Drosophila melanogaster: one gene and its partners. Changing the gene in region 1 together with any one later gene gives a genetic interaction. Each region holds a gene or a part of one and is shown in the gene's direction. Other genes may lie near its edges. The genes, in order: sty, htl, vap and mop.

What was found.
Region 2: of sty (region 1) and htl, changing one suppresses a phenotype caused by changing the other (phenotypic suppression), as found in Drosophila melanogaster (one study listed by BioGRID).
Region 3: of sty (region 1) and vap, changing one enhances a phenotype caused by changing the other (phenotypic enhancement), as found in Drosophila melanogaster (one study listed by BioGRID).
Region 4: of sty (region 1) and mop, changing one suppresses a phenotype caused by changing the other (phenotypic suppression), as found in Drosophila melanogaster (one study listed by BioGRID).

What each region holds. Positions count from the first base shown.
Region 1 is NT_037436.4:3,421,932-3,426,661, reverse strand, and holds the start of sty (sprouty), read left to right. Parts: upstream 1-1,726; 5' UTR 1,727-2,237; intron 2,238-4,730. UniProt on the Drosophila melanogaster protein: Inhibitor of tracheal branching that restricts branch budding by antagonizing the BNL-FGF pathway (BNL: branchless, an fgf inducer of branching).
Region 2 is NT_033777.3:18,049,975-18,055,005, reverse strand, and holds the start of htl (heartless), read left to right. Parts: upstream 1-2,021; 5' UTR 2,022-2,504; intron 2,505-5,031. UniProt on the Drosophila melanogaster protein: May be required for patterning of muscle precursor cells. May be essential for generation of mesodermal and endodermal layers, invaginations of various types of cells and CNS formation.
Region 3 is NC_004354.4:15,999,788-16,007,430, reverse strand, and holds vap (vacuolar peduncle), read left to right. Parts: upstream 1-1,618; 5' UTR 1,619-2,446; intron 2,447-2,986; exon of another isoform or gene 2,987-3,103; intron 3,104-3,344; 5' UTR 3,345-3,505; coding exon 3,506-3,716; intron 3,717-3,788; coding exon 3,789-3,902; intron 3,903-3,981; coding exon 3,982-4,054; intron 4,055-4,135; coding exon 4,136-4,545; intron 4,546-4,718; coding exon 4,719-5,568; intron 5,569-5,640; coding exon 5,641-6,547; intron 6,548-6,612; coding exon 6,613-6,763; intron 6,764-6,845; coding exon 6,846-6,994; 3' UTR 6,995-7,480; downstream 7,481-7,643. Other genes in the region: CG12698 (uncharacterized protein), read right to left, coding at 1-140, 191-324, 376-487, 611-754, 822-926, 1,004-1,204.
Region 4 is NT_037436.4:14,770,093-14,778,055, reverse strand, and holds the start of mop (myopic), read left to right. Parts: upstream 1-1,926; 5' UTR 1,927-2,060; coding exon 2,061-2,144; intron 2,145-2,548; coding exon 2,549-3,298; intron 3,299-3,364; coding exon 3,365-6,307; intron 6,308-6,373; coding exon 6,374-7,366; intron 7,367-7,430; coding exon 7,431-7,559; intron 7,560-7,619; coding exon 7,620-7,801; intron 7,802-7,856; coding exon 7,857-7,963. Other genes in the region: bmm (brummer), read left to right, coding at 15-123, 290-378, 449-717, 1,071-1,255.

The sequences.
Region 1 (4,730 bases):
CATCGATTATCGGACGGAAGTGGTATTGGGAACGGATCTGCTTAGAGAAAAACAGCGACCACGCCAATCGCTGATTTCCAAATAAATATTTTGCACGTGCGTCTCGCTGCCACTTGTGCTGTGAGTGTGATTTTTATTTTTATTCTTTTGGCTGTCTGAAATTGCCCTCGAGTTCATGTTTAGACATTCACCTCGAGGCCAATGTGTTACCTCTGCCACTGCGGCGATTATCTAGGACACTTGTGACGTCAGGCGGGAAAACTGTTGGACTGGGGTGGCGTATTCATTGCGGATTGAATGCACGAAAAGCCATCAGAGCCAAACACCCAGACATCAACTTGGCCAACTTTCATACGGATTTCTCATTGAGCATTTTCGTTCAATGAAATTTCATTTATTTTTATTCTGTCCGTTCGCATTCACACTCATTTATTCGAATTTGTTTGCCCAAAAATGTTTCGGCCAATATACATACGTATATATAATTGAATGGCAGACCACTTTTTGTTGTCGAGTTTGATCTGATCGAATGATTCACATTTCGGTTGGCATTTCAATTTAGGGTCCAAACAATGGCAGATGTCCAGTTGTCCAACTCCGCAGCAAAGCAAATGAAATTCTTTCGGGGATACCCTTATCTTAAAAGGTTATTTTGTTTCTTTATGTTCTTGGGAAGTATTTAAAATATATTATTATTTAATGCTATTCAAAAAGTATCTTACTCAACTTACTCATCCTAAAATAACATTTTCCTAGCGCTCAAGAAAGTAATCCACATTCGTTTTTGAATCCAATTTAGCTCACTCAGCTTTCTTGTTAGACTTTAGCTTTTTATTGTTCTTTATTCTGATGTTCCTTATACATATACAATATATACGTATACAAATATATATGTAGAGTTATTGTGATGCGTACCGCCCATATGTGGAGCTCGGCGAAGTGGCTGCTTTCCGCCAAATTTGGTGCCGCATTCGACCGGATGTCGTTGGAAATAATATTGAAATCTTTATTATTTTCACTGATTAATTTATGGGGCAGTAAACGAAATGAGCTTTGAGTGTGCTGTTCGATTTTAATTTGGGAGCGGTGCACAGGGTGCTGGCTAATTTTCAAATAAGCCCGCCTTAAGGAGGCAGGGCAACCCTGGCCGAACAGCTGATGGACAACGGATGACCTTGGGGGTAATTGCAACAACCCCCAAGTGGAAATTCACTGCCATGGCCAATGTCGAGGCGACGCCTACCGAAGGTCGTTGCCAAGGCAACTGAGTGGGCCAGAGCCCAGCTCATTGGGCCAGGAAATGCAGGCGTGTGTGAGTGGGCGCCCATTGAAAGTGGCGATGCATTCAAAATGGCCGTCAAACGGACGACCTTGAAAGCCGAGTGCTCATTGGCCGGGCCACCGAGGCCAGGATGTTGGGTGGCGGGTGGCTGGTGGGTTGGTAGGCAATTGGAGGGGGCTGGATGGCCATGCAAATGGAGGGAACTGGGAGCCAGGAGCTGGGAACAGGAGCAACCAGCAGCCAGGAGCCAGGATTAGTCCTGCAGCAATAGCCGAAATCGGAAAACAATACGAATGTCGCACGAAGCCCACGCAATGTCGTTTCGTGTTTCGGATTTTGGGACCTTCGGCCCAACGAATGGGTATTCCCCTCCAGGACGAGATCCTATCGGCAATCTTCGGGTGAGGCTGCAGCTCCGATGCAAAAGTCGTGCAACATTGGCTCAGTCACTGGACGATAGTCAGGCTGCATTCAACGTGCAATCTCCGAGAACTTGTGCTTGCAAAATTATTTACCAAATATATATACCCGATATATATACAGTTGTATGTTCAAAGACACAACGCAATTAGCGATTAATAGATGCGCACACGGCGTATGCGTAATTTAAGTGAATCCAAGTAAAAGTGCGCGTGTTTTTAAATAATTAACAATTTTAAATAGTAAACTATCCCATTGAAAAAAAAAACATAATCATACATAGCGTAAGCCTCTTTAACTTTATTACAAATTAATCGTGCTATTAATCAATTAACCAAGGCATCTCGTTGAGTACAGTTGCCACCAGAAAAACAAAACAACTCAATCAACCCCAAAAACCAGAACGAACAAAGGCGAGCTGTACCGAGCCAAAAAAAATCTCTAATCAAATTATCCGCATTATCTGCAATCGAGTCGACCAAGCCGAGGAAAACTTTCAACCAGAACCCATCCATCAAGCAACTTCCCTTCACCGGTGAGTAGCTTCATTGTCCCTTGTCCATCTCTATCAATATATGAACCTTCGCAGTCGAAGAACACTTAAATGTCTCAAGTCATTCATATTGTCAATTGGAACTTTGGATCTTGACTTTTTGTTCTTCTCTTGAGAGCTAAAAGTCACCCAAAGGTTAAGTGACCAGTGCTCATCAGTTGGAAAGGCATTAAAAGTCATTTATATGCCAGTGATTTTTATGCAAGAGATCTTATCGAAGATTTGTCAAGGATATTATAAATGTATTATAAAATGTTCATCCATTTGAATCTTAAATATCTGAGTAAATACGCGGTTGTATAGTTTGTAGAAATTGGGAATTAAATTTCTGGAAAAGTTGAAAAGTCTATCCTAGCCAATATTTTAAAAAAACAAGATCAACTCGATAAAAATAAATTCGTGACATTGTTTCTTTTAGTCAAACAATGATGAACAATTTCCCTACAATATCTTTGAGCTTTGAGTAATGGAATAACATTTAATCGATAGTATGATAGGTCTTAATTTTATAAATTTGTCATCTGTACCCTTTTTCCCTACCTAAAAATCAAATCTTATGCCTGAGCCTTAGAGCTTAGGCATTCTGGAATGCCATAAATCATTTTCACTGCCCCAAATGGGGGGAAAGGCGGAATCGGCGAGGATGAGTGGGGCGAAGTGGCTGGAAGAAGGCTCTTAAGTTAATTTAGTACTTTGTTCGCTGTGCCAGATCATTAAAATTATTTGGCGACTTTGAAAAATTCGAAACAGTAGCCCACAAATACCGACAGCTGAACGAATCTCGAAATGAAATTGGTTTGGCTGATGAGGATGGAGATCGTGTTTTCGTTCGCCGGCTACCCGCTGCGTTTGTCTGCAGATGTCTCATAAACATGAAGACCAACCAGTCCCTACCCTCCGAATATATATCTTTTTTCGAAATTTGTATAATCTGTATGCGAATCATAATGACGCGAAATCAAGATCGGACTGAAGGCTGAAAGCTGAGACACACTTTGGCCTTTTATGCCAGCTCACATGGAGGCTGAGGCTCAGCAAGAATTTTAAAAACTTAACCCATTTTGCAAACATAATGTAGTTTTACATTTGAATATATAAATGGGGATATTATGTATAATTAAATTCTGATATAAATGTAGGCAATAATCATTGTTTAAATCATAGCAAAGAATTGCAAATTGGAAAGTCCTTTAATGATTAAAGAAGTCATAAGAAGTACATTTAAATGCAAGGTCTTGGTCTGTTTCTATATGACTTTGGGTAAAACCAAAGCATCTGGGAGTTTTCCTAAAACCCCTAGGATACCCAGAGGGTTAAGGTTTCGCTGAATCTGTACCGTTCAATTAGCTCTGTCTTTGGGACTGGCGTTGACCAAGACTAATGCGCACATTTCATGCTGATCGTCGCAGGAATTCCAATTCCCTGCGAGTGAGTTCTCCTGGGTTTCTTATTTTAATTTTTTTTTTTTTTTTTGGCTCTGGGTTGGGCTGGCCCTGTCGGAGGAGACCTTTTCTTTGGGTCGGTCGCGTAACATAATTGCGTGAATAACTGCGTTAATTTCCCAAAAGACTTGACAGCGGATGTGGCTACTGGTCTGCGCCGTTGACTCCTCCAGCCTCCCAAATCCTCAGTCCTTCACCTTCTGCTTTGCATTGGCATTCCACGGACTATGCCATCGATATCGATCCGATTCGAACCGATCCTCTGGGCCCTGTGCCTCTCGCATTTTTGGACCCGGGTGTGCCAATGTTTTTTTTTTATCTTATTTATATTAAGTTTTTTTTTTGCCATAAATGGCTTCCGCCGGAGTGTCCAGTTTTTGGCTCACGCTGCATACGCATATACATGTGGAGCTCCATTTAAGGTGGTTCCGGGGGCTGGGGCTCCTCCAATATAATTATGAATAGGCAGGCCATGTGGGCATGGGCAACTCCCCCGCCTTCGTGGCCCCAACTACTCAAATCCAAAATATGAGCTATGCGTTCCAATTTCAGTTGTGGGCTTTTCTCGGATCTTAACTCGGCCCCTCTTTTCTTTCGCATTTTGCACCGGTAGAAATAATAGATTTAGTAGAATTATTGCTTGATTAGAAAAAATATTAATTAATTATCTATTTATAATATAGTTTCTAATTACACACTGCACCAATCCAATTGTTTTTTGTAGACACAAAAAATATTTTTTCACATTATATTTATGTGTTTCACAATTTTTTGAACCTTAGGTTAATATTTTATATTTTCTAAACAAAATACAAAGTATTTTCATGTTAATTTGGTAAAAGTATTTTTCTTAATGCCTTTATACCATTTTTTCACTTTATCGATCGCAACGGAAGCGAGTTGGCGTTGCCATCGTCATTTTGCGTTTGTCACAAATTTGTTTAGCTAAAATATTGATAGAGAGAAGACATAAAAAATAAACACAATTTTTTAGATAGTTTTTCATGTGGGGGTTCCGACGGAATTCGGAATT
Region 2 (5,031 bases), on another chromosome or scaffold:
TCTAGGCAATGATGAATCAATGTTTTGCAGGCCTAACTTATTTGAGCCCATATGATACAATAAATACATTCAACTCAATTTCTTAATCTTAATCTACTAATCCCAAAATTTAATTGATTTCCCAAGTCACCTAGCAAAAGTTAATATATTGCTCTTCCTTATTTTCATTGACAGCTTCAATAGCCCATCTGTTTATCTATTGCAACTGAATAAGTCTAGCAGTTAACTTATTTTTTGGTTGTTTAATCCGCTGGTCGAAAGCGTTTCTCATTGGCATATTTCGCATATAATTGGCTATAAAAATTCATGTTAATGTGCAATTAATCATATTAGCAATTAACTTTATGCTGTTTGGCTGCTCTGCACGAGATCTCGACGAGCTGCGATCTGCGAGATGGCTGCAGATCGTGTCGCCCAACTCGAAGATCGTGTCTCCAAAAGCCTGTTACCGTTCCCGATTTTTCATTTCCCATTCGCAGATTCCCAGAGCCAAATGGCCAAAGGCTCGACCAACCAGACTTTGAGCCAATTTCCCAATATTTATTTCTATGCTCGAAACGCTAACAACTTGCGTTTCGTTCTGGCCAAATTGAAAAGCCATACGGAAGCTGAAGCTGCGATCGGCAGCCTCGAGGAGAAGCACTTTTGGGTAGCCAAGAGGAGCCCGGTTTGGAGCCAGGTTGGAGCCAGGAGGCTTGCCCAGGAGTGCATAAAATTTAAGTATTATGACCATACACACTGATCGGTGGCCGTCTTTAACCCGTGCTTTCCCCGGTCTCTCTGCGGCTTTACGAGGTTGTTAACTGTTGAAACTATGCTAACCACTCATGGGGATCCTCCCTCCCAATTCCGCCGTGGAGCATCAATTAATCAGTCAGGCGTAACGCCATTTGGCACTGAACGGGTCCCGTCGGCCACAATTGATGGTCAATAATCGTTAATTGTTTTCGATTTTCGGCCAAAATCCCCCCTGCGTCATTGTCCATTGTTTGGCTAACCCTTTTCGTTATTTTTGGTGTCTCCATAGAGACAAACGCTAAACGATGCCATTGTCTTTGGCGCACAGCGTGTGTGCTTTGATGGCCTTTTCACCACGAGTGTCATTCATTAGAGGGGCTTTCTTCCATCGCCACTTGGCTACTGGTTCTTATGTGTCTGTTGGCCATTTGACATTGGCTATAAGTAGCTCATAATTAATAACTGCTAACTTACTTAGCGAGCTATTGTGTTGGCTAATGAATCTCATTCCGCATTTTCCGCCTCAAACGAAGCGCAAAGAAATGCGCAAAGAATTTGTCAGTAGAATCTTAGGCCCTCATAGGCCATAAATCTTTTTAAAAAATAATAATAATTAAATTCAAGTGACTGATCTATTCTGACTAAGATAAGTTAGCTATTCTTTTTAATAAAGCATGATCCATCAAACCAATTATAACTACATAAATAATTGATCTGAATATAAGGAATCTTTTTGACAACTACCCATCTTCTTTGCACCCTCATAATGAAATTCATGAATTTCCTCGCTGCGCTCGAAACTATGCAACATATTGTGCGTTAGAATATCTTTGAGATATTCCATTCGACTCAATTGAACGAATTTTAGAACGAGTGCGGTCTGTGCACTCAATTACATTTCACTTTCCAAGGGAAGGCCGCCACTCAGCTACACACTTGTGTGTGTGTGTGTGTGGGTCCCCCATATATAGGGTATAGGGGCCCCTATACCATATAGTACCATACATACATATACCGCATACCCAACCCCTCGCTTTTTCGACCCTTCCTCTCTTTGGCTGCGGATTATACAATGTGTGGCTGGCGTTCCGTTCAATTTTGTGTGTTTTCTGTATTTGTTTACGCGCCTGCCGCAAAAATACATTGCAGAGATGTGTTCTCCAGCATGTTGAAGTTGATGGGGGAAATGTGAATTCGTTTCATTTGTTCCCTCATTTAATTGAAGAGATTTATTTCGCAGAGCTGGCTCGGTTCTGTTCGGTTCGCTTGCTTTTTTTTGACTCAGTTGCGATCGGACTGCGTGCCGTTACAGTAGGCGAAATCGGAGGAAAATCGTTGGAAAATCGGTTGGAAAATCGTTGGAAAATCGGTGAAAAATCGTCGAAAATTAGAGCGAACGATCGATCGATTGAACGCGTAATAACGCCATATAATATAATTATACTAATAATTATTAGTAATGCCTCTTGGTGAAAACGCACACATTTTGTGGATGGAAAGAAACAAAACAGAGTCAAGTGTGCAACGGTTTCTGGTTCTGTTTAAGTGCCTAAGTGCCATATAAATGCGTACTAAAACATTTCTGGAATTTTAAGTGGAAACATTCTCGAATTCTGTGAACTTTCCCAATTGTGTTTTTAGTGAAAGACTTACAATTTAGACGAAGGCAAGGAGAAATTCCAACGCAGAGACACTTTGGTGGATATTTGGCAAGAAGCTTTTTGGCATTTTTTTTTTTTTGTTCGTGGAGCAACGCACTTTGTGAGGTAAGTCTTTAAAAATACACACCGTGCATCGTTTAATTTAGTTTATTTTGTTTTTGGTTTTTTTTGCGTAGTTGCGCAAATCATTTGTTTGATCCACTTTTTGATTGACCGCGCACAGCAATTTGACTTTTTAACCCAAAGGCCAAAAAGTGTAAAATGTGCAGTGGTTCGGTTCCAAAGCAATTTGTGTCGTTTATCCCGCTGTGTGTGTGTGTAGTCAATCGTTCAATTATCTATTCTCTGGCTACCCCATAATAATACAGTGAATATGGACAGTTGTGGGCTCCCCATAGTATCTGTTTTTTTTATTTTTTATTTATTCCATTCGGTTCTGCTATGGTACATGCTCAAATTGAAAGCACTTTTCCACAGGGTTCCCATTCTAATTTATATTTATTTATTTGCTTTTACAAGCCAACCGATGCCCCAGAGCTCGGGAAAATATTTCAAACTCATAATTCTGTTATATTCCAACGCTCCCTTAGAATGGGATTTTGTTTATTAACCAACAGCATATAGCATATATCGTATCATCTAGAGTCTAGATTCTAGAATGTAGACGGTATAGGAACATGCAATATTTTCTAGCCGCGTAAACAAACATTTCAACTTGTCTGCTCTTTGTCCGACTTGCTCTATATCTGAGTGAGTATATAGCTAAAGATATAGCTATCTGTGTGTATATATATGTATATATATATATTTATCGGGTATCTGTTTTGTCGGTCGGTTAGCTTTACGATGCCATCTTCTAGGTGATTCGGCTTCTGTTTTGTTGCCTTTGGCAATCACTCAATTTGCTGGCCGACAACCGAAGACGCTTCTTACTTTTCGCCTCCCTTCTCTGCAATTTATTTATGAATGATAATTAAGGTTAGGTTTGTTTAGCTAATTGTGCGGCCAGTTCCCGGTATTGTTCCCATATCATCTCAGGTGGGATCCACGCAGACTTTCGGTATGATCCTTTGATCTTTATGATGTTAAAGTACAAATGTCACGAGAATATATGCTTGCTATATAATATTAAATGTTTTCATGAGAGTTTATCATAAAATCAGTGTTTACCAAATAAAGATTTCGATTTAGAAATAGATTTATGTCAACAATAAAGTAATAATGTTATTTTTTGGTATTATAATATATTATAGCTTAAGCTTATCAATGCTACAGCACTTTTATAATGGATTTTGTTGTCTAAATGTTTGTGAGTACTAATAAAATTTTAAAGCTCTAAATGGCAAATTTACAAATATATAAGTAAAGCTTGCAACAATTTAAGAATAGCACATATTTATTTCAACTAAATCTGTTGAACGTTCTTTATATAAATCGCTGCGTGCTTTATATTTCTGAAATGTAAATCGAATCAATAGTTCACTACTCATATACTTTGTGATAATTTAACGTAGCTTCGCGTTTTTGATAAAGTCGACTTGCCACAATCGACCTTTCGCTCCATCTGCTTCTTTTCGTTTACCCCATGGGATGCAACCTTCTCGCCGTCACGTACTGAATGGTATATACTAGATGAACGGGTGGGGATGGATGGATGGATGGATGGCTGGATGGGATTGGCATTGGGTGGCTGATGGCTGGTGGAACCTGCCGACGAACCGTGCGAAATAACAGACTCGTGCCGGTCTCGACTTGGTATCGGATACACTGAGCGGCAGCGGGGCAACCGCCAAGTGCGTCAATTGCGGGTCAACCCGTGCGATTGAAATGGATGCGCCAAGTGACCGGCGATTTCAATTCGATGGGAAATGTACATATACCGTGCAATGTTTGTATACTTTGCAAATACTTTCCGGAACGTGTTTGTTTATAAATCGGGCGATTTTGGACGGCACAGGAAATACATACATATACTAAAATTGCGCGCTCATTATCGATGGAGGTGAAGGTCGGAGGGTGGAGATAGAATACCAAACATATATACAATTTTTGGCAGTTTCCGATTTGGCGGATGCCTTCCTGGAAGTCAACATTTCGGATAACCCCATCATTTAGACGCTGGAGTCGCTACTTCCCCTCGAGAATCGACGACAATGTCTGTGCAACACATGTGGCACGATCTTAGGTAGACATACGTATATGTACATTCGTGTATGTTCGATGCTGATGATGTGCCCACATGTTGCAGTCAACAATAGAGCAACAAATGCAAGCCGAAACAATATTTGCCCTTGTCTCTGCTCTGACTCTGACTGTGGGCGTGGCGACGGGGGCGGGAGAACAGAGACAACTGAACACAGTAGTCTTCTCCGCCGGCCGTTATTTTTGTTGCTTTTAATTTCTTTAATTTTTTTTTGTCCGCCAGATGTGGGCTGAATGTTGAATGCGGACTGGAAAGATCAGACCCAGAACGCGGAGAGAAACTGTGTCTGTTTTAATTAAAGATGAGAGTAATACCCAGTGCAAACTGAGAGATACCGCCGATACTGAGATACAAAGCCAGACGGGGCTGGCATGTGTGGAAAATTAAGGCTGCCGTTGAAAGCGAAAAGATGCGGGACGCTAAAGGCAA
Region 3 (7,643 bases), on another chromosome or scaffold:
TTCATGTGAAGGCATTGTAGCACCACGCATTCCCCGCTAAGGACAAAATAGACATAGCTCATGGTACCCAAGTCTTCGGTGTAGATCGTCTCCAAGGGCTCGAATTGCTGAATTGTTCCATACTTACTGGCATTTACAATCTTACAAACAAGTTATATTATAATTTCTTTTTATCTACTATTATACTTACCTGTTCTTCGTTGAGAAAGTCAAAATAGTCAAGGGCCCGCAGAGCATCCTTCTTTTCCTGCCACATCTTTTGCATAAACGGTAGAAGAACAATTTTATAGTTCGTATTGAATATAGCCAGGAGTTCGCAATAAGCTGAAAGAATCAAATGCGATTAGGTGTCAAGAAACAAACGAATCGATTTACTTGTGGCGATATAAGTGTTGGTTCTGGGTGTATCTTCCATCACGTCAATATCACCAATGCAATCCCCGGGTCCAAAAATGGCCTCCGTTTGTACGGTAGGACGACTGGAGCCCTAAGAAATATACCATTTTTCAAATAAAAAAGCATATATATTTAATAAGGCATAATTGAAAAATTGTAGCTATAACTATGCAAAGCATATTAGAAAGTATTATATATAATTTGAATAGTTTACCTTTTTATATATGTTCTTAGACATTTCCACCTCACCGGCGATTATAAAATAAATGGTTACGGGAAAATCCTCCTCCTTCATAACAATACGCCCGGGAGATATTGCCATGAATTTGACAATCGGAACAAGACGGGCGCGGACTTTCTAAAAGGGGTAACAGGTCGGATAAGTAATATTATACATATGTACAAATGATCAGCGCGCTACTCACTGGCGGAAATTTTGAAAAGCAAGCCAGATTTGCCACAATGGTGCAGAGCTTTTTCCTCTCATCGACGGAACGCTTAGCATGTGGAGTGCGCAGCAGCGATTTCTCCTGCAATTAAGCAAACACAAAAAGGAATAAACTCTTGAGCTAGCCTTGATATGAAAGAAGAGGTTCGTTGGACTTACGGCCATGGTCATCATGCCCACTTTGCGCTTCTGTCGCAGCATGGCAACGTTCTTCTTCACATTCAGCGATATTCCACCCTCCTCGGGCAGCTCACTTAGCCACTGCATATTCAGTATCACGGATCGGATGAGCTTCTTAAACCGAATCTTGGCTATTTTCTTTCCAGCGCCATCGTGAACATCGCGTTGGCGCTTGGACATGATTATGCCTTCTAAATCCCACTGATGTCGAACTGTTCAGTTCAGAGTATTGTGTCCATATAATAGTATTCGAATGACAAAGATTCGGGCTGCCGCCTGCTGTCTAAATAAGCTTGAAAATATGAAAATATATAAACTTAATTTTACCCCATTTCAGATTTTGACGGCTAACGGTTTTCGTGCGCACAAAAAACATGTGTTATTTTCAAAGTGTTTAAATCATCTTTTGTAATTTCAACACATATTAGCTTTTCATTTAAGAAATGTACATTCAAATGCTGAATAAATATTATTTGCGTTTGTTTTTTCTTTAAAATATTATATCTTAAATTGGCTTATCGTTTATAATCGATTTCTTATTCGAGCTGTACTCTCTGGCGCTATCTTGACGCACATACATTCGTCCGATAAGTTGGGTGTGTGGTATATTTCGATGATTCACTACGTTCACACTGCGCACAATTGAATTCTGTGGCTATCGGTACGGAAGAAATTTTAGTTCGTTTTAAATATGCAATTGTTATGAATAACACAAGTTGAGCAAATAAAAGACGGCAATTCCCAGCAGCGCGATTTGTTTTTTTAGCTCGGTGCTGCAGTGCAATGTAAAGTATATAGAGGAAAATATTTACACATGCGCATTAACCGATTAATGTTCTGTGTAAATGGTTTTATTTTTTTTTTTTTTGTATTTTTTGTTACCCATATGAGAGAGAATTAAATGGTTGTGCTAATGATTCATTTACAAAGGAATCACAAACCGAACACAGCCCAGAAATTGTGAATCAAATGGGCAGTAATTACCCCGCTTGAGAGGAGTATGATAAAGACGGCGACGGTGATGACGATGTTGATGATGATGAGATGGTGTTGATGATGATGATGATATGATGACTCTTCGGGTCGTGTATGTATGAAGAAAAGAACCGAATGAATTTTTTTGTGTTCGGCTCGTTTGGCAAAAAGGGCTTAGCCTAAAGTTTGTGTGTGGTGTGCGGCTCATATAAATCGCTTGTGTTTTAGATAGATGTTGATGTACAAGAGGGTGCAGCATATTCCTATATATATACCAATGTACATAAAGTATATATACGGTGTTACAATTCATAAGTAACTTGTACTTTCATACAACTCGAAATATCCTAAAAATGTCTGCGCATATGTAAGAAAGTCAGTCGCCCGGCGATTTCAAAGAGCAATATGTACATATGTACAGTGGCTCACAGCTTAATTCGTCCAGAGGTAAATGTTTATTTAATAATTCGATGAAAAACCGTTTAAAATATCAAAGAAATGGAATAGACAATTTTCCTTATCCATACACATTGAAAACGTATAGAATCAATATACAGATTCTAAGATGAAAATCTTTATAGAAGAAACAACTTAAAGATCTTAAAGTTGTATGGTTTTTTGTTGTCTAAGCTGTGGGTTCACTACACTCCTATATTACTGACTGAAACAATCACAATTGATTTGTTATCTGTAAAAGTAAACAAAGCGCAAACAGCTGATGGATGTGCTGTCCATCTTATCTTTCATTTAGTTTACTGCGAAGTCTACGTCGTTAATTGCTTTTAAATATGGTTTTGGATATAAAGTAGCATTGTCTCTATATTCTAATTAATAAACCCGGTTTCTGGTGCTGGTTGTAATCGGTTGTAATAGCGCCTATTAGTAAATTTCTTGTTTTACCAATAGGCTTAGGTTTAATCGTATTTAGTGTAGGTGTGATGTATTCTTGCCCCACAATTTTGCATACGTTGTTAAATTATTTGTTAGATCCTCAACTTTCGTAACATTGGACCCGAATTTTGTTTTGGACACTTATAGCGAATCTATTCCAATTTGTTTTTGTGAGATTACCACCACCGATATGGCAAAGAAAATGATTTCACGGTAAGCCCCGAATTCCGAATTATTTTCCATTATCTATATTTAATAGCATTAGAAAGCGGAAACTAGAACTAACAAATCTCTCGGGGCGTTTTTAGTGAATGGTTTTAGACATATCTTGGTTTAGTTAAGCATTTGATTCTATTAGTGACTCTCTAATCTGATTTCTGATTTTTATCAAATATGATTTTCGTATTGTAATCAAAGTAAGGCAGCTAAGTGTTTTTATCTGGTCTTCTTACAGTTTAGCACGGAAAACCCCACACAGTCACAAAAGTTAACGTATCTCCTCAGTTAAACGCATTCTTATCATTGCTATATGTGGCTTTTATTAAATCGAATTCCACTCGAAGTTAAATATAGACTAAGACTCGCATTTGCTGAACAGAGATCATAAGCCTAACAATGGCGGACCTAATACATTTGGGAAACATTGATGTTGTCATCCAGAAAGATAAGCCCGGATCGCCAACGGGCTGTTCGGATGATGGGAATCTTGCGGGGCTGGGTGGCATGACCGGATTGGGTGGCATAATGGCACCTGGCGGCATCGACTTGGGTGACTTGGCTCAGGAATTGGATCACGATGAATTCGATGGACCACATATGCTGAATGGTAAGTAAAGTTACATGCCCATACATTGTAGTTCGATCGATAACTAATTTTCCTTGCAAACTCCAAACGCAGGTGAACGTCCAGCGATTATTGCTCCTCCGGAAAGCGAATGGTACCATGGACGACTCGATCGCTACTCTGCAGAGTCTCGCCTACGCGGAAGCAGTAAACTGGGCAGCTATTTAGGTGTGTATAAGATGGTATTCGAAGGTGAGAAAGTATTACTAAATAAATACCTTTGTGTTCTTTTTTTAATGCTGAGCAGTTCGCGAAAGTGACCGCAAACCTGGCTCCTATGTTCTGAGTTATTATGGCCGCACCGGCATAAATCATTTTCGGTAAGTAATAGGTTAAGATACCCATTAAATGCCATTGTTTTGAATGATTTTTTATATATGTATGTTGTATCGTTAACATAGGATTACAGCTGTGTGCGGAGACTTCTATATCGGAGGACGACAATTCATTTCCTTAAGCGACTTGGTTGGTTACTATACCTCATGTAGTGATCTACTGAAACGCGAACGCTTGGCCATACCAGTTGCTCCGCCGGAGCCAGTTAATGATAAGAAACGCGTCGTAGCCATCCTGCCTTACACAAAAATGCCAGAGACCGATGAACTGAGTTTCCAGAAAGGTGATATCTTTTTTGTACACAATGACATGGGCGATGGCTGGTTGTGGGTGACTGCCCATCGTACGGGCGAGCAGGGAATGATATTCAGAGAACTTGTTGACGATCTGGATGTATCTATCGATCCAAATACGGTGTTTCCCTGGTTCCATCCCAACTGCACCAAAAACGAAGCCGTCGATATGTTGGTTAAAGGTGTGTATTATTAGTTTAAGGTACCTACAAGTAAGGAAAGCAAGCTTTCCCGAGATTCACGAGATGAATCCTTAGAATTTTGAGCTTCTTCTAGTGACGCCTACAATCGATATTTTCGACTTTTCTCTGTTGCTATATGTATGTAATTGAAACACATTTTTTCATCCTAACAGCTGGACCAGGAAGTTTCCTCGTTCGCCCAAGTGACAACTCACCGGGGGATTACTCTCTATTCTTTCATATAAACAATCAAATCCAACGCTTTCGTATTGAAAAGAAAGGCGTGCGCTATTTAATGGGCGGTCGTACATTCGAATGCTTGGATGCGGTTATAAATCGATATCGCAAAGAGCAAATTGTGGAGGGCCACTCACTGAACCATCCAGTTGTCAATGGCATTCAGCCCGAGTTCAATCAGCAATATGTTGTGGAAAAGGCCGCTGAAAAGATCTACGCAACATTGCGCGAGTGTCGTGACCAAATCGGTCTCAAAAAGATCAAGGGAATCAAACATCACGGCCATTTGAACAAGAAGTCGGACAAAACGACGAAATGGAAGCAACTCTATTTCGCTTTAATCAACGATGGTTCCGAGACGCAACTATGCTTCTACGACAATCCGAAGAAGACCAAACCGAAGGGTCTGATCGATTTGTCCTGTGCTTACCTCTATCAATGTCACGATTCGCTGTGGGAGCGTCCCTATTGCTTCCAAATTGTCGAAAGGGCCCTGCCATGCTTGGCCACAGTGACGTATCTGTGTGCTCCTAGTCAGGAAAGCTACGTGGAGTGGATTAATTCGCTCAAGGCACAATGCGATTCCCAGCTGAGTCGTGCCCAGAAGAAGGTATCACGCCTTCGTGAGCTTCGTTGTCTTAATCTGCATGTGCTGGAAGCTCATCGATTACCATTTAAACTAGTGCCACATCCATACTGCAGTATTTCCCTCAATCAAGTCAAAGTGGGCAAAACTCGTGTCAAAATTGCACCCGAACCCGTTTGGGAAGAGGAGTTTGTGCTAGAGTAAGTCTACCATTCCTTCGCCTATTTGATAACTTATCGAATAATATATGTTTGTAACTTGCTTGCTTGCAGCGATGTTCCGCCAGATGTTGTCTCCCTAACCATAACATTAATATCGCGCGGCAAACGCGGTAAGGACTCCGAAGTGGCTGAGCTAACCATTGACTTGTCTAGTCTAAAGAATGGCCAGGAAACCGAGGGCTGGTACCAACTCACTGGCATGACGCCGATGGGTGAATGGGGCTCGCTACGATTGCGTATGCGCTACCTCGACGATCTGATAATGCCGTGTGAAGAGTACAGTCCTCTGCAGCAATTGCTCCTCGAATCGGAGCTGTATGCTGTGAAGGCGCTGGCTGAATTGTGCCATAATGATCGGGTTCCTTTGGCCACGGCTCTGTTGCGAGTCTTTAGGCAGGAGAAACGGGAAACGGAACTAATTCGAATGCTGTGCCAAGCGGAGGTGACGCGCGAAAACGAAACCACAACGCTTTTCCGTGGCGCATCCTTGGCCACCACCCTAATGGATCTATATATGCGCACCGAATGCAGCGGCTTCCTGCAATCGGCCGTCAGCGAAACCGTGCAGCGCATTTTGGAGAGCAAGCAGTCGGCTGAATTGAATCCCACGAAAATGGACGTCAACGATGATGCCTGTACGAATGCCGAGTTTCTATTGCAAATCCTCGATCTGGTCACCCAGTCGATATTCACTTCACCGGACGCCTGTCCACGCAACGTGCGTTTCATTTGCAGCTGTCTTCAGAAGGCTGTGATGGCCAAATGGCCGACAGAGCGGCTCGTTCGCACACGCGTCGTCTCTGGCTTTATATTCTTGCGCCTTCTGTGCCCAGCGCTGCTCAATCCACGCCAATTTGGATTGGTCAGCGAGACGCCACCGATGGCAGCAACACGATCTTTGGTCATGGTCGCCAAGTGTCTGCAGAATCTGGCCAACTTGATTGAATTCGGCGGCAAGGTGCGTATCGATTCGACTCAGTTATGTGATTACCAAAATAAATTCGATTTCTTTTTCATTTTTAGGAACAATACATGGAGGTTGTCAATCCGTTTATCTTGAAGAACAAGGAGCGTATGATTGTTTTCTTGGATCAACTGTCCTCGGTGAACGATCCGAACCAACCGCTTGGAATGTTTGTCGAACAAAGTACAAATCTGAATTCACAAGACACTGGTAATTATTTGTCAGCTCATGTTTTCTATTTGGCGCTGTTATATTATTAAATATACAATGATTTCTTTTATAATTCCTGCAGGACGCGAGCTGGCTACCTTGCATCACATCTGCGTATCTCATTCGCAAGAACTGCACGAGCTATCCAACATACTTTCAATTAAGAAGCTGGTCACAGTGACGGACATGCTGACCAAACACAAGCTGAAGTATCGCGAGATGATCAGCTAAAATCAATTGCGAGGAGAGCGGATAATAAAAAAAAGCGATGTCTTCTTATCTACAAGTCCCTTCATACCTTTTTATAAAAATATTTATATGTGTATACTATTAGAATACATAAAATAAGAACTCAAAATAACTGGTTGAATTGTATTGGAATAGTAAACAGCATCTCATTTATAAAATTATTTATATGGAAATGAAATAATATTTAACAGACCGGTATGCATTTATTTATTATTATTATTACAAATTAAAAATAACCTATAATACACTAGCTTACACGGATTACTCCGTATAGCCGCAAACTCAGATATTCAAAATGGTTTTGCTTTCGATATTGTTTAAAATTTATTAGTGCATTACCAACGTCAAATGGCAGTTGGCGTCCAAATGCACGGCATTTATCCAAAAGTCAATACATTTTTTTTTGAAATAACGCATAAAATCGAAATAAATTAAAGAATTCAAAAAGAGTGCAAAAGACTTCCTCTGAAAACATACACTGTGTTTTTGAATGGCTCCCTTTCGGTTTCTTGCAGCTGAAAAATGTTTTTTTTTCGAATTTCTTCGCACTTAAAGGCGTTGCAATGGGCATGGAAAAGTCAATAGTCAGCTGAATTTAATATAAATACATATATTCTTCAAAGGAAACAAC
Region 4 (7,963 bases), about 11 Mb from region 1:
TGATCTATATTTAGAATATCAGCACTGACGCCCAAACTTACCAAGCAGGCCAGAGTAATGGTGGAGGACTTAATTTTGCAGTTGAACCACGCCATGCGGATACGACTGCTAAATAAATTCACGGTAAGTTAATTAGGTACCTGTCTTGTGATCATTTGCTTAAGTAATCAATTGAAGTGCATTAAGGCTGTCGCTCACATTTTCATAAATTTGTTTTATTTAGAATTGACGGCTGGCAATGAATTTGAATATGAAATGAATTATACTAACGAATGTGTTTTTATTGCAGCTCTATGACCAGCCTCACTTCGATGCCACAGGACTTCTTCATTCCAGCCGCTTATATGGACCCCGTGTTTCAATCCTTGTGGATGAATGGTAAGTTAAGCAGTAGGATTAATCCTCCAAGGAAGCGTTTAACTAATCGTGCCGTTCTTTTGGTTTTCAGTGGAGCCACACCGCTAGAGGACGATGTCGACAACTTTGAGCATGTCCTCAAGATGACCACGCACAACGACGCTCTATATGCCTATTACTATACTGACAGCAACACGAACAAGGTGAAAGTAACCGAGATCTTTGACTTTGACGAAATAACGGAGCACGACAAGCTGGCCACCGATCTGCAGATCTACGAAGGCTCTGTCGAAGATCACCCCAATCCCCACCAGCACAGCCACAATACGGTGGTCAGCGAATGGAATGGCGTCGAATCAGGTTGGTATTTGTGAAACGACCGCACTTTCAATTCAAAAATCACATCATTACGTAGAGAAATCGTATCATTTGAATCAACACCAAACATTTTTTGCAGTACAAGTAATGCCCACGACTCCTGAACTACACGACGTAGCCTTTTAAAGCACTTACAAACTAAACGACTATAAATGCACCTCCATAACCCTTCACCCACTCAAGCATTAAGTCCAAATTTTAAATCGTTGGCGCAGGTAAATGATCTAAATTTGCAATCACTCCCCCGTATATTCCCATAACAAAATTTCATTTTATATAGTTCGCTCTTATGAATGGTTAAACTAAACTCTGTCTTACTTTCTCATGCTCCACAGACTTCTTCATCGATGCGCATACACCAAATGTGGAGGATAGTAAAACATCAGCGCCACAATTCTCCCGCCTGGACCTGGAGACCGAGTCGGATGCTAGTGTGCTAAGTGATCCCGAGGTTGATCAGACTTTTAGCTCCACGGCCTCCACGCACAGCAGCGACATGTATATAGAAATTGAGGGGTAATTAGTAATGGGGAGGGGGCAATCCTCTTAGGAACTGTATCGAAACATCTCCAAAGCGGCTCGTAGCAAAGCGAAAAGCCTAGTAGCGTTTCCATTAGTCTAAATTAGTCTTAGTACGACCAACGTATGTACCTAACTTAACTTAGCCGTATGCTGCCATTGTATCATCGTCAGTTTGTAAGCGGCAATTAGCTAATAATTGCATTCTTGTTATTAGTCACCCTCACACGACTTGTATTACATCCAAATCCCCATCTGTGTTTAGCCTAAGTTGATAATGTATAAACAATAAAAAAAATAAACAACAAATATTTACAGAATGTCTGGTTGCGCATTTACTATTAATAAAATAACTAATTGTGATTAATGGGGAATTCAAGGAAGGAAAAAAAAAAACAAACAAAAATATGGTGCGCTTCGTCACTATGTAAACTGTCGTTCACAGTGATATATATGCAGTGCACTTCTTTCATCCATCTATAACAATTTATATAAATTGTTAGACATTCGCATTCGTAATATCAAATTTTTTAAATTTCATTTTCTTTATAAAATTTAATCGGCATAAAAATTTAATACTTCTGGAAAAGAATACCGTTCTAAAAAGTATCGATGCCAATGAATGGAATACCCCCTACGCACCTGCCATTTTTAGTGCATATTTCCAGAAAGCTGAAACGGCCACACTGCAACATTTTTCATAAAACAATCTTGTTTTGATATTGGTAAATTAATTGCCAGCAATTAGTTTAAATTGTGTGTAAAATAAAAGGCCAACTGGGCAGGCAACAAGTAAACTAATCACCATGGAGGCGGTGCCCCGTTTGCATATGCTCTGGTTCGCCCTAAAATCGAGTCCCGAGGGAACCTCCTTTGCGGCTTTGAAAAAGGTAAAAGGAAGAGAGTGCGAAAGGGGGAGTGAAATAATTAAGAGAGCCAGCAAAACAAAGAGGAGACAACTTGGTGAAACGGAATTATCGGTCAAATTGGGAAAATGCGTTGCTTATTGGATTCATATTGGAATCGAAATTCCCATTCTCACCATGCCATTTGCTCCATTGCATTTTCCGTTTTCACCAACTTTTAAGCCCCCTTTGTCTGGCGGCTGAGTCATCGTCGTCATCTGATTAAATTGGCAAACAAATAAAAAGTTATAAGCAAACACTGGCAGTTTGTTGGGTTATTGCACTTAATTCCCCATGAAAACCCATTTACCCTAAAATATATTCTTGTTTTCCTACACTAAACTCCATAACAAAAATCCAACTTAAAACATTTCACGTTTTACTTCCAGTACATCGCGGAATTTTATCATGAAGATCCAGAGGCTTACTCCAAAGAGGTCCATGCCCTGGAGACTTTGCGCAACCAGGCCATGCACACCACGAAAGATGGAGCGCCGGTGATGAAACGCTACTATTGCCAGCTACACGCCCTTCAGAATCGATTTCCACAGCTGGCGGATCGCGGAATCTTCACCTTTAAATGGAAGGATCTCTATCACAGTGCCGTTCACGAGGTCACTGATCTGCGATTCGAACGGGCTGCGGTGCTGTTCAACATTGCCGCATTGCACACTCAGTCCGGAGCGTCGGTGACCCGTGGCGATGTGGATGGAATGAAGATGGCCTGCACTCACTTCCAGGCGGCTGCTTGGGCCTATGGAGAGCTGAGAGAACGCTATGCCAATGTCAATGGCGGAGGGGATTTTATGACCCCAGAGCTGCTGGTCTTTCAGCAACAGGTGTGCTTTGCCCAAGCTCAGGAATGCATACTCGAGAAGTCGCTAATCGACAATAGGAAACCGCATATTGTGGCCAAAGTGACGGCGCAGATTGTGGTTTACTATGGAGCTGCACTGGCTGCTCTTCTTACGGGAGGAGATGATGGTCCAGTGGCTCAAGTCATCGATAGTTCTGTGTACAAACTGTGGAAGAAGTACGTTCGCTTCAAGATCAACTATCTCACCTGCATATTGTACCTATACCAGGGCCAACATTCCGAGGAGAAGCGTCAGATGGGCGAAAGGGTGACGCTCTACCAGGTAACTATAACATTTTGAGCTCTATTTAAAGGAAAGGTTTAAATGCTTACTTTATATTCCTTTCAGGCTTCCTGGGACAAACTGGAGGAGGCGCGCAAAGAGTCCAAGGGCCTTCCTGACCAGCGGGAAATCAATGAATCCCTCAGCTTCACCGCTGATGTGGTGGAAGCAAAGCGCAAAAATGCCAAAAACGAAAATGAGTTCATTTACCATGAGGCGGTGCCCGAATTGTCCACCATTGCAGCCGTCCAAGGTGCCAATTTGGTCAATGGGATTGGCTTTCAAGTAAGCGACGAGGAGCACGCGGGTCCAGACATCTTTGCCAGATTAGTGCCCATGAAGGCCCACGAAGCCAGCTCGTTGTACAGCGAAGAGAAAGCCAAACTTTTGCGTAAGTACGGAGCTCTGCTGGAGGAGAAGGACACCCAACTGGAGTCGTACATGAGCTCCCTCACCCTGGATAATCTGAATATCAACGAGGAGCAAGCCAATAAGTTGCCCCAGGGCATCGTGGATCGCTGTGCCGCCTTAAATGCAAACAAGACTGCTATCAGCGATCTTGTAGAGGCCATGTCTCAGCTGGCTGAGATTACAGCCGATGTGGAGACCAACCTGGGCGAGATTTCAAGCATGCTGGAGGCAGAAGCCAAAGCGGAGCGAGAGTTCCAATCCGCCACCGGCGTTCAACGAACACCAAATGCCCACATTACCGAGTTATCGCGAGAGTTCCAGAAATACAGTGAAGCCCATGCACGGGCAGGGGAATCCAATAATACCTTGCGGAAAGCCATGAGCCTGCACGTAAATAATCTAAAGATCCTGGCCAGACCATTGCCTGAGATTCAGCAACTGATGCCCAAACTAAGTTCGGAACTGAATACCACCGAAATTTTCAGGGATGTGAAGCTCATCCTCAACAAAGTCAACGAAATGAAGGCGCAACGTGCTCAGTTTCATGCGGATTTGAGGATAGCCATCAATGAGGATGATATCACTGGCAAAGTAATTGCCCACGGTGGACAGGAGGGCCTCCAAGCTTTATTTGCAACCGAGCTGGGCAAGCACGACAAGATCACCGAACTTCTCGATCAGAATATGGTGGCTCAAGGTAATATTCTGCAAGCTCTAACTGAAAACTATGCCAAGGCGGCACCAGTTTTGAAAACGCTCCAGGACGTGAAGCAGAAACGGGAGCACTTTTACAGCTCGCTAGCTGCATCCTATGATGTTTATGAGGATCTGCTGGCCAAATCCGCCAAGGGCTTGGAATTCTACAAGAAACTAGCCGGAAATGTACAGAAGCTACTTACCAGATTTCGATCCGCCAGGGATGTACAGTCCGAAGAGCGCCAGCAAAGGATGCAGAGCGTTAAGGCCGCAACAACTCCAGTTGTCAGCAAACCAATAGCGGAAACTACGCCTGTGCCAGCGGTGAGCAGCACCCCCAAATTAAGGGATTACCTCAAGGCCAAGGCAGCGATGGCGGATGCCTCGAATCCCGCCTATGTGCCTACAGTGCGTCCAGTGCCGGTGGGCTCGGAGAATCCCACGCAGGCCGCTTGTTCCTATGCCACTGCACCACCGAATGAGCCACCTCCACCCTATAGTCTCACACAGCAGCAGTATTTTGATCCCAGTGCCGCCGGCTACACGAATCCCATGTATCAGCAGCAACAGCAGCACATTGCTCCACCGGCCTACAAGGCCCAAGCATCGCCAAACTCTCAGACCCTCCACGGAGCGCTCGGTCAGATGAATTTGCAGGGCCAGTCGCAGGATAACAACCAAGCAGGCATGGCTTATAATTACGGGTATCCAAGTGGGTCTGTTCCTCCTCTAGCTTACGCTCCACCCGGAACAGTGCCCGCAAGCTCAGCTTCCCAGGGATTGAATATCCAGCAGCCTCTGTATGTGGCTACATCGGGCAATCCAGTTTCGGTTTCAAATCCCAGTGAGCTGCCGTCCACCCTGCAGGCACCCTTCGTGGTCAATCCAATGTCCAATCCCTACCAAACAGCGGCAGGTTATTCAGGGCAGGCTTACCAACAGGTCAATGCTCAAGCTCAACAGGTGACTTATCCTACAGCACCATCGGGCTCTTCAACAGGACAATCAGCTCAACAGCCCTTGGGTTATGCGCCAAGTCAGGGGCCACAGCAGCAAGCTGGTGGATATCCACAATCTCAGACACCGCAGCAACAGGTGGGAGCTTATCAACAGCAGCCATTATCAGGCTATGCCCAACAGCTGACGCCTCAGCAACAAACTGGATATTCACAGTCGCAAGCACCGCAGCTCCAAGCGCCCAGCTATGCCCAAAATCAGCAATCGACTGGACAAGCACAGCAGCAACAGACTGGATATCCACAGACACCTCAACAACATCTAGCTGGGTATGCTCAGTCCCAGCAACAGGCTACAGGATATCCACAATCGCAGACATCGCAGCAGCAGACCACCGGGTATTCCCAGTCCCAGACGCCTCAACAACCACTGGCATATCAGCAGCAACCATCTGGTTATCCACAACAACAACAACAGCAGTCACTTGCTCCGCAACAGCCATCACTTTATCCATCGCAGGCTGTCCAGGCGTCGCCACAACCTATTCCTGGCCAGCAGGCAACACCTCCGAATGCTGGGCAACCTTTGCCATATCCACAGCAGTACACTGATCCCAATGCAGCTCCAGCTCCAGCTCCTGGGGTTTCTTCTGTACCAAGTCCTGTTCCAGTACCGACTCCAGCCCCCACTTCATCTCAAGCTCAGGTTCCCACATCTCCGCATCCTTCGGCCACCTACACCAGCTATTCCAACCATCCTGGCTATAGCTTTAATCCGCAGACAGGTAAATACGAGTACAGCAGTGGCTATCAGCAGGATACCAGTTCGTTGAAGGGATCCCAAGCCTCGCAAAGCTACCAGTTTAGCCAGAGTGGCAAGCAGCAGTCGGTGGGAACAACGGACTCAGAGATTGCCAGTCGCAGCAATACCGCCACTGGATTCGATGTAAGTGCTATGCCCATATATATTAAAGGTATTGAGACCTAAAATAACGAAATTTTTATCCAACAGTCACCTATCGTGTCCCACACCAAGGTTAATATGGCAGCTAAGGACTCCACTTCTGCGATAGAGGGCAATGAGTCATCCAACTACTACTCCACTCCCTATGGATACCTTGGCAGTGTAAATCCGCAGCAACAACCCACTCCTGCGCCTCCTTCGAATTCAACTGCTTCAATTTATATGCAAAGTGGAGCGAGCAGCACTGCTGAAACCCAGACGACTTCCAGCGGAGTTCCTTACGCCTCCTCCGCGGCTTTGACCAAAGTAGAACCAAAGCCGGAGGCATTGCCTCCCAAGGTTACCAGCAATGTGGATCTGCTTAGCGACCTGGACATTGACTGCTCCGTTGCTGTTCCGCCGCCAATGTTGCCGCAGCCTGTTTTGCAGCCCCAGGTGGTGGCCACTCCTACGCCGCCGGCAAGTCAGGTATCGGTGCCTGTTAAGGTAGAAAGTGTGGCAGAGCACGCTGCTCCCGCAACAGCGGAAATTCCTGTAGCAGCCACCGAGGGAACTGCTCAAACTCCAGTTACCATTCCTTCGGGTCCGAAGTGTGCCAGTTTAGATAACCTATCCAACTGTTCCGACCTAAGTTCCCTGGAGAACTTTGACTGGGACTCGGTATCCGTTACACATTCCGTCAGTGAGAAACAGACCAAGGCATCTGCCACAGCCAATGGCCATTCGAGCAGTTTTGCATTCCAATCCGAAACTTTTACGGACGAAAAAACGACAAAATATTTCCAAAAGGAGGTGGAGAGCTATGAAAAATTACTAGAGAATTTGCACGTGAAAATGTTGAATGGAAAAACACAACTGGGCGCCAAATGGCAAGAGCTGCAGCAAAAGTTGGATAAAGAAGCCGCTGCCAACAAGCGATCCACCACCATTGCGAAATTGTTCCCGGAGAAAAATCGATCCCTTGATTGTCTGCCATACGATCATGCCAGAGTAAAGCTGGACAAGCAGACCGATGACTACATCAATGCCGCCTACATGAAGGTGAGTTATTCCAGAAAATGTTTTTATAGCACACAATCTTTAAACGCCGTTGTTATTCATTTAGAACTTGAGTGCCGGCTGTCCCAACTTTATTGTCGCTCAGACTCCCCAGCCAAATACCATCAACGATTTCTGGTCCATGATCTGGTCGGAGAAGTCGCGCACTGTGGTTTGCCTGCACACCCCAAATGAAGTGAGTAACTTCAGCAAAACTATGAGATTATTGAATCTAAATATTTGATATGTTCTATAGCTTTTCGATCCCTACTGGCCGCAAGCTTTGGACCAGCCGACTCATTATGATGATTACACCGTGACCTGCTTAAAAGTGCAGCAACTTAGCCACTGCTCCGAGTATCAACTTAAATTGTCCATGCATGGAGCGGACGCAGTGCTGGATTTATCTCTACTGCAGCTGAAACAGTGGACCAAGGGGTAACATGTCCAGATTTCGTCCGATGGAAAGAAATAAATAATTGCTATTTTACAGGGCTCCAGCTCAACTTCTGGGTGTGGCGGAAAATGCTTTGGAGACCCATCGACAACGCTGCAAGGCAGCCAATGCTCCGCAATCGCCGCTCATTATGAACTGCTTAA